Linked DNA regions of Saccharomyces cerevisiae S288C. The gene in region 3 interacts genetically with the main gene of each other region. Each region holds a gene or a part of one and is shown on either strand. Other genes may lie near its edges.

Region 1 (4,012 bases), on a different chromosome or scaffold from region 3:
TGTCCTGTCAGGCCATTAATTTGGGACATAACCAGGTTTACTTGCTGATTTTCCAGCTGAAACAGAATTCTTTCGATTGCCATGAGCAAAATCACAAATGCAAAGTACATGACTGTGAAAATTATTGTCATTCTCTTACATTTACGGAAAACGTGATTTTTTACTGCACTTAGTACACTGTTTTCCTCGCTATTTGTTTTCAGAGACCGTTTAATTATTGAAGTAGACGATGTAACCTCGGTACTCCCCCCAGATAAAATGGAAATTTCATTCTGTAAGTTTGCAGTAAAGTTCCTTTTCAACTGAAGCCAGTCAGTGGAATTTCGTAGAAAATTCAAACTTAAGGTACTAGAGGTATCTAATTGAGTAGAAAAGTCAGTGATAGTGCCATTGAAGTTCTGCAATGATTTCAATTTCCTTGAGTAGTTCCCAAAAATACTGTCAAACATGGAGTAATTTAACAGTAGGTTTGATGCCATTTGTGAAATGGAATCCTTATCAATGGTCATTGCGTCTTCTGATATTTCATTCCATGTGTCATTTATCAGCTGTGATTTAGTGAGTAGTTCGTTAAAAATTGTATTGTTTACCTCAAGAACTTCCTTAATCAATTCAGTTTCCAAACTTATTTGGTCGTTGATAAGTTTTTGTTTATTATCCAGTATGTCGTCTGTGTATGACTTGAATTTTTCTTGCATATCCGTACCTACCGTAGATTCAATACTCCGTAGTTTGCTTTCGAAATACTGATCAATTGTATTATCAATGAATGTTTTATTTAAAGAGTAACTGTTGGCAGAATATATGGCATGCTGTGTTGTGACTGCTGTCATTGTGGCCGTTGTTGTGGCCGTTGTTGTGGCTGTCGCTGTAGCAGTTGAAATAGATGCAAAGGTTGAGACGGTATCATTTCGTTTGACCTGTGCGTGAGACATTTTTGCCATTGTAATGTCAATGACTGAAAAGGAACCCCAAATAGTTAAAATAACAGAAGTAAAGAATATCAGTAATAGAGGATGGAAAATACAACTAAAAAACCTCTGTGGAAGTGATAAAGGTTTAATTATGTGTACATTGTTCATCTTTGCCGTACTCTTAGTTTTATCGAAAAGTGGTGTAGATTTTCAGCTACTTAAGCCATGTTAGTGTTCTAGTTTTTTGCTTTACATGTTATATAAAGGGCCAAGATAGCATATGTAAATGTTTTATTACTGGGCTGAAACATTTTTAAAACATTTTTCAATAATGTGCTGTTATAACCGTACAAGGACGGTTATAATTCTGAATTAAAATGCTGCACCGAATGAAAATACCAATGTTCTTCCAAACCTATTGGCGAAAATTAAGATAAGCTGTCGCCTCTATAATCAAGAATAATCTCAACTATTATAAATATTATTCCCAGAAGTTGAAATTGTGACACATTTGAGTAATATCACCTTACACGGAACATAGTTGCCCCCTTCTCCGAAATTGCTGACAATGATAATCGGGGATTCAATGACAATGACAATGAAGGCAAAAGATTTTCATATTGTACTCTTGTTTTTTGAGTTATCACTTTCAAGTACCTTCTTGTTAACAGAAATAGAACCGCTATAGAGGTTATCGTGTATACGTATCTGTTGGTGTTTCTAAATCAAAAACTCGCTTTTAAAGCAGTCTTTCAATTGGAAGATTCAAAAGGATCTAAAAAGATCTAAAGTAGTAAAGAAAAAAGTATAAGCCCACACCTTTTTGGTAGGATAATGTTTACTGGTCAGGAGTATCATTCCGTAGACTCTAATTCCAACAAGCAAAAAGACAACAATAAACGTGGTATTGATGACACATCAAAGATCTTGAATAATAAGATACCGCACTCTGTTAGTGATACTTCTGCCGCCGCCACCACCACTTCTACTATGAACAATTCTGCTTTAAGTAGATCCTTAGATCCTACTGACATAAACTATAGCACAAATATGGCTGGTGTGGTTGACCAAATACATGATTATACTACTTCCAATAGAAATTCTTTAACCCCACAATATTCTATTGCAGCTGGAAACGTCAATTCGCATGATCGGGTTGTTAAACCCAGCGCCAATTCAAACTATCAGCAGGCTGCATACCTTCGACAACAGCAACAGCAGGATCAGCGACAACAGTCACCCTCTATGAAAACTGAAGAGGAATCCCAACTCTACGGTGATATTCTGATGAATTCTGGTGTCGTACAGGATATGCATCAGAATCTGGCCACTCATACAAATCTGAGCCAACTGTCGTCTACCCGTAAGTCCGCTCCGAATGATTCTACTACAGCCCCGACTAATGCGTCCAACATCGCCAATACGGCTTCTGTGAACAAGCAGATGTATTTCATGAACATGAATATGAATAACAACCCACATGCCTTGAACGATCCATCCATCCTGGAAACATTGTCGCCATTTTTTCAACCTTTTGGTGTTGATGTAGCACATTTACCTATGACGAATCCACCAATTTTCCAAAGTTCTTTGCCTGGATGCGATGAGCCAATTAGAAGAAGAAGAATATCAATCTCTAACGGTCAAATAAGCCAGCTAGGCGAAGATATTGAAACTTTGGAAAACCTGCACAACACACAGCCGCCCCCGATGCCCAATTTTCACAATTATAATGGTCTGAGCCAAACTAGGAATGTATCAAACAAGCCGGTCTTCAACCAAGCAGTGCCGGTTAGTAGTATTCCACAATACAATGCAAAAAAAGTTATTAATCCCACGAAGGACTCCGCATTGGGTGATCAGAGCGTTATTTACTCGAAAAGTCAGCAGCGAAATTTTGTAAACGCGCCATCAAAGAATACTCCAGCGGAGAGTATAAGTGATTTGGAAGGCATGACGACGTTTGCGCCAACTACTGGAGGTGAAAATAGGGGCAAATCTGCACTTAGGGAATCTCACTCTAATCCTAGCTTCACTCCAAAATCTCAAGGATCTCATTTAAATTTAGCGGCGAACACACAGGGAAATCCAATCCCTGGTACTACGGCATGGAAGAGAGCAAGATTGTTAGAAAGAAATCGAATTGCAGCTTCGAAATGTAGACAAAGGAAAAAGGTTGCGCAGCTGCAGCTCCAAAAGGAATTTAACGAAATTAAAGACGAGAATAGAATTTTACTGAAAAAGTTAAATTACTATGAAAAACTAATCTCTAAATTCAAGAAATTCTCCAAAATTCATTTACGTGAACATGAAAAACTAAATAAAGACTCAGATAATAATGTTAATGGCACTAATAGTAGCAACAAAAATGAAAGCATGACTGTGGATTCATTAAAGATCATTGAAGAACTTTTAATGATCGATTCAGACGTTACAGAAGTGGATAAAGATACTGGTAAGATCATAGCCATCAAGCACGAGCCATACTCTCAACGTTTCGGAAGCGATACTGACGATGACGATATAGATCTCAAGCCCGTAGAAGGTGGTAAGGATCCAGACAACCAATCATTACCCAATTCTGAAAAGATAAAATAACAAAGTTTTGGTGAGCACAACGGTGTTTCATTCAAGAATGATAAGGACAACTATATATGTAATATACGTGTATAAATACTCGAGCTGCATCCTTTCTTTTCTGCCGTTATTATTTCGTTTAGTTACTACATTTATGGTATAAATTACCTTTAAGACATTATTATTTTGCATGTATGAAATTTGCTCGTGTCAACCCCTTAGTCCTCCTTGCCTCTGTTGTATGGAGGAAGCCCTTTAAACCTGTATTTAGTTTTTTAAATCTATTAGAATTAAGTACAATTGTACAGATGGTAAAAAAAAGTAATCGTTATATCGTTTGTCAGTGATTTTTTTTTTTTTATTTCATTCATTATTTATTTCTTATTTTTCAATTTGTTCCCTTATTGGGGCAAACCACGGGTGTCCCATCGCTTCCTTAGCAGTTAATCTTTCTTGATGATCATATCTCAAAAGATTGTCAATAAGGTCAATAATTTCATCGTTGCCGCTTAAATGTTTAT
Region 2 (4,400 bases), on a different chromosome or scaffold from region 3:
TGACAGACGACTTCAGAATGGAAAAGAAGGTAATATGTCAAGATATCTTTTGGTCATGTGATGGTACATCGTTTGTTTCTGTGCATAATGATTTTGGCATCAGACAATATTTAGTGCCGGAGGAAAGTAATACGGACAAGCTAAACAGAAACCTCCTTCTACCATTTACAAGGTTTTTTAGAAACCAGTCTATTGTTTCATGTGCAATAGACCCGTTTTACACGCTTTATAACGAGAATTCCGACAGGTTAGCTGGTGACAGAATCGTGGTTGGAGGAAAAAACTTCCCTCTACAACTATACTCTTTGATGGACGGGCAGTGTATCCTCAGCTATGACACGATGAACAAAATAAATGGAGAATACGAAACTGTATACAGTGTGAAAATCGATGTTGAGTCTCGTGTATACACTGGCTCATGCCGTAACAAAGTGGCGATATACGACAAGAGCAGACGAGATGCCGTGTGGATGAACCAGAGTACCAAAAAAGCAAGCAAGGGAAGACAAAGCATTATATCTTGCTTTGAAGAGCAACCAATGGGAGGGCAAGCTCTCTCAAGAGGATCTCTATTGTGTGGCAGTTATGCGAATGAAATGTTTCAGGTAGACTGCCGTCATCAACGACTAGAGAGACTGAACTACACCCGCACAGTTGCAGGTGGGATTGTACAAATCCTTACAAGCGATAACGGGCGTTACGTGTACGTTGTCAGACGCAACAGTGACGCGATTAGTATTTACGATCGGCGAAACCTGCAGCACGAGCTTAACGTATTGCGCCTACCGTTTCGGATCCACCACAACTCTGCAAAGTTGAAGGCATATATAGATACGGCTTACGGACTAAGTATGGGGACGCCGCAGGGAACAATATTGAACTGGGGTCGAGACCTTGTGGAATTTGGAGGTGTTCCCTCACACAATAGTGTTGAAGACCCACTAATCACGTCTATCCCGCCAGAGTCAGAGTGGCGCACTAACCTTGATTCTACTATTCCTGCCACGGTAGTGAAGAATTGTCCTGGGGATCCCGAACTGTTCGCCCTATCTCATGGGGGCACAATTTCATTATGCAGGTTCGGCGGCTAAAAACGGCAAACCCGTATTCGTGTATCACCCGGCCAGCTTTCTCCGATGAACGCGCACAAGTAAGAAGTTAAATTGCATCCCCCAGACACCACCTCTTTTGTTCACTTCTTGCCTCATGCCGTCAAAAAATTTTTTTCGCATCGAAAAAAATCCCCAAAAGAAAAGAAAAAAGTTCTTATTTTTATATAGTGCCACCATCGGGAAAAACTTCCCTGTAAAGCATTAACAGAGTCTTCCATCCCCGCTTCTGTCCTTTATTTGTTTCATAGAAGCTATTAAGCATCATATACTGCACACAGGAGCATGCATAGTGTCTGAAGCCTCTTTTGTTCTGTACTGCACATAATATTTCATAGAAAAACTAACGGAAAGAATCTACAACTCATAGTATCTGTAAATCCGTCCTATTGTCATATCACAATCACAGACTATGACCACTCAAGAATCGATCAAACCTTTGGTAGATAGAATCCTATCAAATCCCCTGCAGTTCAATGCTGCAATGATCTCTAACAAATCGAATAATAATGATACTTCCGCCGCGCCGGAAAATAGCTCGTATATTGTGATAGGAAAACAGCATAATAACAATAGTAATAGCACAGCTATTGCTGCAACGGCCGAATCCAAGCAAATAAAAGAAAATAACTTGATAGACAGGCCAAACGGAAAGAAAACCAACACTGTTCCTAAATCTATGGCTGAAGCTTTATTGTTGTATACTTCTAAAAATGATAAAGATGCTGCAGATGCTACTGGTGCCAAGAAGTCAGCGGAGCTTTCTACGGAGCTTTCTACGGAGCCTCCTTCCTCTTCTTCGGAAGATGACAAAGTAGGAAAAGAGGAAGAGGAAGAGGGTGAAATATTTCATGAGGCAAGAGACTATGTAGAACCCCGAAAAGCTAGTTTGAAGGAACGCGACAACGCAGATAAGGGCGATGGTGAAGACATCGGCGAAGACATCGGTGAAGACATCGGTGAAGACATCGGTGAAGACATTGGTGAAGACATTGGTGAAAACTTGGGTTCTCCATTAGCAACCATTGATGATTCATCTAATGAGAATGAAAAGGAAAAAAGAAAGGAACTGTCTACAAGCATTAGCAGTGATGACGAAATAGAAGACGACGAGGATGAGGATGACATGGATTATGATTCTAGTGCTATGGAAAAAGAGCTCCCTGAAGAAGAGGAGAACGATTCCAGCTCCAAAATTTCTGAAGGCGAAAAAAAGAGTTTATATCAAGATTTAATGGAAAATAGTACAGTGGAAGTAAATCGGTACGAACCAGTAAACAACACCAAAGAAAATGGAAACAGGAATCCAAAGGGAGAGGAGGAGGAAGAAGAGGAAGAAGAGCTGAAACATAAATCTAGGTCAATCACCCCTCCGGTTACAATATCAAATCTATCAAACTTTTACCAATTCAATGAAAATATCAATGATCGTGGTTCTTTAAACTCTACTAGAATTGTTAAAAATTGGGGCGACAAATTCACCAATTTGAAGCCTCGTGGCCTTTTGAATCATGGTGTTACTTGTTACACAAATGCTGCTGTACAGGCTATGTTACACATTCCTTCGATACAACATTATCTTTTTGATATACTAATGGGGAAATACGATAGCACCATCTCAAAAAATTCCGTTTCCTATACTTTAGCTGAAACAAGTAAAAAAATGTGGTTACCGGTCTCAAAAAACCCTAGAAAGAACGTTTCAGCTTCCTACATTAATCCAAAACATTTGATTTCCAGATTGGATGACATTAATTGTATGATGAGCGAATGGCAGCAGGAAGATTCACATGAGTACTTCATGTCTCTGATGTCAAGATTACAGGAAGATTCTGTTCCCAAGGGTCATAAACTTATAGAATCGATAATATATGACATATTCGGTGGTCTTTTAAAGCAGATCGTTACTTGCAAATCTTGTGGCAGTATATCTAAAACAGAACAACCATTTTACGATTTATCGTTGCACTTGAAAGGGAAGAAAAAACTTGATCCAAATTCTGACCTGTCGAGTGATAGCATTAACGGCACTTCAGCCACCACTTCTACCACTACCTCCAATGCTGCCACAAAACCATCTCTTTCATCCTCTTCATCTGTCAATTTAAACAATGGCTCACCATTTGCCGCTGCCAGTGATTTAAGTTCAGCCAACCGCAGATTTTCTATTGAAAAATCAATTAAAGATTTCTTCAATCCCGAATTAATCAAGGTTGACAAGGAGCAAAAGGGTTACGTTTGTGAGAAGTGTCACAAGACCACGAACGCCGTGAAGCATAGTTCAATATTAAGGGCTCCTGAAACTTTACTTGTGCATCTGAAAAAATTCAGATTCAATGGCACGTCCTCATCAAAAATGAAGCAAGCTGTTTCTTATCCTATGTTTTTAGATTTGACGGAATATTGTGAGAGTAAAGAGCTACCTGTCAAATACCAACTATTAAGCGTGGTGGTTCATGAGGGCCGCTCCCTTTCTTCAGGTCACTACATTGCCCACTGCAAGCAACCAGACGGTAGCTGGGCCACTTACGACGACGAGTATATTAATATAATATCTGAAAGGGACGTTTTAAAGGAACCCAACGCATATTATCTCCTATACACGAGGCTAACTCCAAAATCGGTTCCATTGCCATTGGCGAAATCTGCCATGGCCACTGGTAATGTTACCTCTAAATCCAAACAGGAACAGGCTGTTAACGAACCAAATAACCGCCCATTGAAGATTAATAGCAAGAAAAATAACAGAAAAAAATGGAAAAAAAATAAAAAAAGGAAGTTCACCAAATGAAAAAACTCGATATTCCTGGATTTTCCTCTTTTCATAGGCATTTTTATTAGCATTTCATTTTTATTATACCAAATCAATATATACATATAAATATCCGGTCTTTATTGACTTATAAAACAACTCTCAGTATACAGAGTTGGAGAAGCGTTTACTCAGAATAGCTTCAGTACTACCGAGCTTTGCTAACATAACGGGAGAAAGAGAATTTAAAACTTATATACATATTTACAGAATAGATCAGTAGAAAGAAGAAGGAAGGTCTGTTGAAAATTTCTCGAAATTGACGGTACTTTTTTGTCTTTTCACTACTTACAGATCAAGGTACAACCTTAATACCCATACTTTTTGCAACGCCAACTATTGATTTAACAATACCTTCCATCTCCAATAAACTATGCCTTTCATCACTCTTTTTTATCTTGGCTATTTCGTAAACGTGCTTCAGCGATAACTCTCCTAAAGCACGGGTTGGTCCCTTGGCAGGTGCACTGCCTAACATT
Region 3 (5,426 bases):
AGCTTTTTTTTTTTTTTTTTTATAGAGAGTAATCTCAAGGAAAGAATATTAATACTGTGTATATATATATATATATATACATATATATATAAAACTGTTTAGATAAATTAACCAACCAAAAAGATACATGTATTTTTATTATTTTTACCTATTATTTTTTACTTTGCTGCATCTTCATGTTTCCGGGAGACCAGAATTATCTTTCGGGCCAAAATATCAAAAATCAATCATACATAAAAGCGTGTTAGAATTTACATTATTGCACTTAGAAAGGACATGAGTACAGAGCACAGTAATTGTGGTGATGTTATCTAAAGAAGCGTTAATAAAAATCCTCAGCCAAAATGAAGGTGGTAATGATATGAAAATTGCCGATGAAGTAGTACCAATGATACAGAAATATTTGGATATATTCATTGATGAGGCGGTGCTGCGGTCCTTGCAATCTCACAAGGACATTAACGGAGAACGTGGCGATAAAAGTCCCTTAGAGTTATCGCATCAAGATTTAGAGCGTATCGTAGGGCTTCTTCTGATGGATATGTAAAAGTATTCAACTTACATTACATCCATGTAAAGACATAAGACATTCCTGGTTGTCTGATAAATTTAAAGCACTATATTTTCTTTCAGTCGTCCTGAACTACGTTAGTTTACTAAAGTAGTTTTTGGAGCGATCGTGCGCTCACATATACAAATATACAGTTCATTTTATACTAAACGCTTGCATCAAAACGCGCTGTGAAATGATTAAATTACTTAGTCCATATATATTATGCGATGCGAGAAAATGCTCATCTGATTAGAAATGCGGACTGGAATGACAGAATCACTTCATAAATCAATTAGAGTATATCCCCGGTTATTTGAGCCATTATTTTGAGACTGCTGTTGAGACTGGTTACCAAAGCCATAGCCTGTTTGTGTTGGTACGACGCTAGTGCTTGGTAAACCTGTATACTGACTGTTCAAAAACGGATTGTGGTTTGGATCATCCGATACTTGCCTATATCCTGTTCCTTGAGAATTGATGAATGTTCCTGTCTTCGTATGTTGGGCAGGAATACGAGCCTCCCCTACATTTCCGAATGTATCAATACCTGTTCCTGTGGCTAGTAGCTCGTTTAGTTTACTATACTTGTCTGTCATTGATTGATTGCCTGTCCTGTTTTGAATCAATGGCTCTTGTTGTTTTTGTTGTTGCAGTTGCTGTGGAGAAGAAGCTGCTACTAGTTGGTTCCGTTTTGGTGAACTTGAGCTCTGTTCTGATTTGGCAAATGGATTGTTGGACATTGCCTGTTGCTGCTGTTGCATAGAAGCTAAGTACTGTTGTTCCTGTAGTTGTTGTTGTTGTTGAAACTGTGCTAGTTCTTCGGGTGTTATAGGATTCCCGAATACATCGTAGTACATTGGTTGTTGTTGCAACTGTTGTTGTTGCTGTTGTTGCTGTTGTTGCAATTGAAATTGTGCGTATTCCTCAGGAGTGATTGGGTTACCAAAAATATCATAATACATAGGTTGTTGCAATTGTTGTTGGCCTTGCTGTTGTTGCATTCTTTGTAAATCTTGCAATCTTTTTAGCTCCTCTTCTTCTTTGCTCAACTGCAAAGCTGTTTCATAATCCTCGTCCTGTTTTCTTCTTCTTTCGTCTTCTTCCGCCGTCAACCTGCTAGCACTAATGGCTCTTTGCAAATCATCGTCATTTTCATCACTGCGCCCAGTTCCCCTTCTTCTTCTTCCTTTCCTGTTTCTTCCCTTGATATTCATGTTCCTTTCCTCGTTCAGTCTTTCGTCATCAGATAGTAATGCAGTCAATTCTTTTGCTTTGACCCTAACGATTTGACCTTGATCTATGCCCTCATCGTCCTCGTGCCTGAACTCCTTCAATGTCTTGATGATGTATAAATTTTCTCTACACCAAAGAACACAATTCTCACTACCAAACCTGATCAAGTAATCTATTACTGTCAATGCCTTTGCGATATGCCTCCAGTATTTGCCCTTGTCGTTAAGTCTTTTGTCCAGCATATCCATGATTTCGAAGAAATCTGCGCTATCATATGATTTTTCAGCCAGCTCAATTAACGAGTCCTTGGACACTTGATGATTGTCGTTTGACGTTGCATTTCTTACCAGGACCTGGGTAGAAGAGTACCCTTTCACCAAATTCTTCGCAGATCTAACAAATTGTTTCGACATGATTGTTCTGCCTCTTGCTCCCTTTCCTTCTGATCCTGGCACTCATACGAACGGCTCTTTCTTCTACTTCTTAAAACTCCTATTTGTCATTGAAAGAAACTTTCATCATTACCCGGATGATTCTCTATACGTAGCCACAATTTCAGACAACCATACTTCCAAAATCAAGTACTTTGAACAACATAAGGCCCCACCAACCTTCCGTAAGACTTGCAATAGGAATTCGTACTGCAGCCGCTGGTTCTATTGCTGTTTAACTCTGTCATCTTTTTGCTCGCTTCGATGTGTTCCTCCACTTGAGATGGCTGATGGAATTTTTCACCTTAACGCGAAAACGCGTGAAAGTGAAATTTAGCTGCAATAAGCCATGCGTTTGCATCTCGCTGTACTTTGTTCAAAAATAAAAGTAATGATTTTGGAGGTTTAGAGCAGCTTTTAACGTCATTGTTCATCAATTACATGCGCAGATTACTGACCGGTTGCCTTCTTTCATCTGCACGTCCCTTGAAATCAAGATTGCCATTATTGATGTCATCCTCATTACCTTCCTCTGCCGGTAAGAAGCCTAAACAAGCCACTTTGGCTAGATTCTTCACTTCCATGAAAAATAAGCCAACAGAAGGTACTCCTTCTCCCAAAAAATCATCCAAACATATGCTGGAAGATAGAATGGATAATGTTAGTGGGGAAGAGGAATACGCGACCAAGAAATTGAAACAGACGGCTGTTACACATACTGTAGCAGCTCCAAGCTCCATGGGTAGCAATTTTTCTTCTATACCATCATCCGCTCCCTCTTCCGGTGTTGCTGATTCACCGCAACAATCTCAGAGGTTGGTAGGTGAAGTTGAAGACGCCTTGAGCTCAAATAATAATGATCACTATTCGTCTAATATCCCCTATTCTGAAGTTTGTGAGGTTTTTAACAAGATTGAGGCCATATCTTCCCGTTTAGAGATTATAAGAATCTGTTCTGATTTCTTTATTAAGATAATGAAGCAATCGTCTAAGAACTTAATACCTACAACATACCTTTTCATCAATAGATTGGGCCCTGACTACGAAGCAGGCTTGGAATTAGGCCTTGGAGAAAATCTTCTTATGAAAACCATAAGCGAAACTTGCGGGAAATCCATGAGCCAAATTAAACTTAAATACAAGGATATTGGGGATTTGGGTGAAATAGCAATGGGTGCGAGAAATGTCCAACCCACTATGTTTAAGCCCAAACCCTTGACCGTGGGTGAGGTCTTCAAAAATCTTAGAGCTATTGCTAAGACTCAGGGCAAAGATTCACAATTAAAAAAGATGAAGCTGATCAAGAGAATGCTTACTGCTTGCAAAGGTATAGAGGCTAAGTTTTTGATTAGATCCCTAGAGTCAAAATTGAGAATCGGTCTTGCTGAAAAGACTGTCTTAATATCCCTATCGAAGGCTCTTTTGCTCCATGATGAAAATAGGGAGGACTCTCCAGACAAAGATGTCCCCATGGATGTGTTAGAAAGTGCTCAACAAAAGATAAGAGACGCATTTTGTCAAGTACCCAACTATGAAATTGTTATAAACTCATGCCTGGAACACGGTATTATGAATTTAGATAAATATTGTACTCTAAGACCAGGAATTCCATTGAAACCCATGTTAGCCAAGCCTACCAAGGCAATTAATGAAGTATTGGATAGATTTCAAGGCGAAACTTTTACGTCAGAATACAAATACGATGGTGAAAGGGCTCAGGTGCATTTACTAAATGATGGTACAATGAGGATTTATTCCAGAAATGGCGAGAATATGACTGAGAGATATCCAGAAATTAACATAACGGATTTTATCCAGGATTTGGATACTACCAAAAATTTAATTCTAGACTGTGAGGCTGTTGCTTGGGACAAAGATCAGGGGAAAATTTTGCCTTTCCAGGTCTTAAGTACAAGGAAACGTAAAGACGTGGAGCTGAATGATGTTAAAGTTAAAGTCTGTCTCTTTGCATTTGATATACTTTGCTACAACGATGAAAGGCTGATTAATAAGTCACTAAAGGAAAGAAGAGAATACTTGACGAAGGTTACAAAAGTTGTCCCGGGAGAATTCCAATACGCGACTCAGATAACAACAAATAACCTTGATGAACTTCAAAAATTCCTTGATGAGTCCGTTAATCACTCATGCGAAGGTTTGATGGTCAAAATGTTGGAGGGCCCTGAATCCCATTATGAACCAAGTAAAAGGTCAAGAAACTGGTTGAAATTAAAAAAAGATTACTTGGAGGGGGTTGGAGATTCATTGGATCTCTGCGTGTTGGGGGCATATTATGGTAGAGGAAAAAGAACTGGTACGTACGGTGGGTTCCTTCTAGGATGTTACAACCAAGACACAGGAGAATTTGAAACTTGTTGCAAGATAGGGACAGGATTTTCGGACGAAATGTTGCAGCTTTTGCACGACAGGTTGACCCCGACGATCATTGATGGACCAAAAGCCACGTTTGTTTTCGATTCGAGTGCTGAGCCAGATGTATGGTTCGAACCTACGACTTTGTTTGAAGTTTTGACTGCAGACCTTTCCCTATCGCCTATTTATAAAGCAGGTAGTGCAACTTTTGATAAAGGCGTATCCTTAAGATTTCCAAGATTTTTGCGTATAAGAGAAGACAAGGGCGTAGAAGATGCAACCTCTTCTGACCAGATCGTCGAATTGTATGAAAACCAATCCCACATGCAAAATTAGATGTGCACACTATTTTTCTCAATTAATCATTAAAAAAAAAAAAGAGGGCGTTCTGTTCAGCTCCAAAACGCCGCATCACATATAATGACATTTATTTACTTCTTTCGTTTCTCTGTCTACCTTACATAATAGCATTATAAAACAATAAGAAATCTCTTTGGCACTTTTCCCACCTTTGTGGGTCAAAAAACACATATGATCCCCTTTCACTTAAACCATCAGCGGATACAATAGGTTCCATCATAGGATCTTTGGTGAGCCAGGCCTTCAACGTCTTGTGGTATCTCCAGTTCCTTTTCCTGAGTTCCAAATACGTTAGTTCCTGGATGACTGTACCAGGGTGTTTATAGAAGAGGAAAAATAGAGTTTCATCTTGAAAAAGGGCAACACGCTGTTGGTCATTTTGGATGGAATTGAAGCATGGTGGAGTTACAGTGGATTGTAATACGCCCGGAATATTGGTGAATGATTCTGGTGTGAAAAATCGGGGCTCCACTTCG

Evidence for each region.
Region 1: mutations in CDC9 (region 3) and CST6 together harm fitness less than expected from each alone (positive genetic interaction), as found in Saccharomyces cerevisiae (2 studies listed by BioGRID).
Region 2: mutations in CDC9 (region 3) and UBP10 impair growth when combined (synthetic growth defect), as found in Saccharomyces cerevisiae (one study listed by BioGRID).

Annotation. Positions count from the first base shown.
Region 1 is NC_001141.2:283,918-287,929, forward strand, and holds CST6 (Cst6p), read left to right. Parts: upstream 1-1,748; coding exon 1,749-3,512; downstream 3,513-4,012. Other genes in the region: pheromone-regulated protein PRM2, read right to left, coding at 1-1,082; casein kinase 2 catalytic subunit CKA1, read right to left, coding at 3,873-4,012. UniProt on the Saccharomyces cerevisiae protein: Transcriptional activator of promoters containing ATF/CREB sites. Can independently stimulate transcription through ATF/CREB sites. Important for a variety of biological functions including growth on non-optimal carbon sources.
Region 2 is NC_001146.8:287,977-292,376, forward strand, and holds UBP10 (ubiquitin-specific protease UBP10), read left to right. Parts: upstream 1-1,521; coding exon 1,522-3,900; downstream 3,901-4,400. Other genes in the region: SWT21 (Swt21p), read left to right, coding at 18-1,091; mitochondrial 54S ribosomal protein uL11m MRPL19, read right to left, coding at 4,217-4,400. UniProt on the Saccharomyces cerevisiae protein: Deubiquitinating enzyme involved in telomere and HM loci silencing, which is the repression of chromatin structure which leads to a stop in the transcription of nearby genes.
Region 3 is NC_001136.10:164,487-169,912, reverse strand, and holds CDC9 (DNA ligase (ATP) CDC9), read left to right. Parts: upstream 1-2,658; coding exon 2,659-4,926; downstream 4,927-5,426. Other genes in the region: MHF2 (Mhf2p), read left to right, coding at 305-547; ENT1 (epsin), read right to left, coding at 835-2,199; CCR4-NOT core subunit CDC36, read right to left, coding at 5,048-5,426. UniProt on the Saccharomyces cerevisiae protein: DNA ligase that seals nicks in double-stranded DNA during DNA replication, DNA recombination and DNA repair. The mitochondrial form is required for mitochondrial DNA maintenance but is non-essential while the nuclear form is essential for cell viability.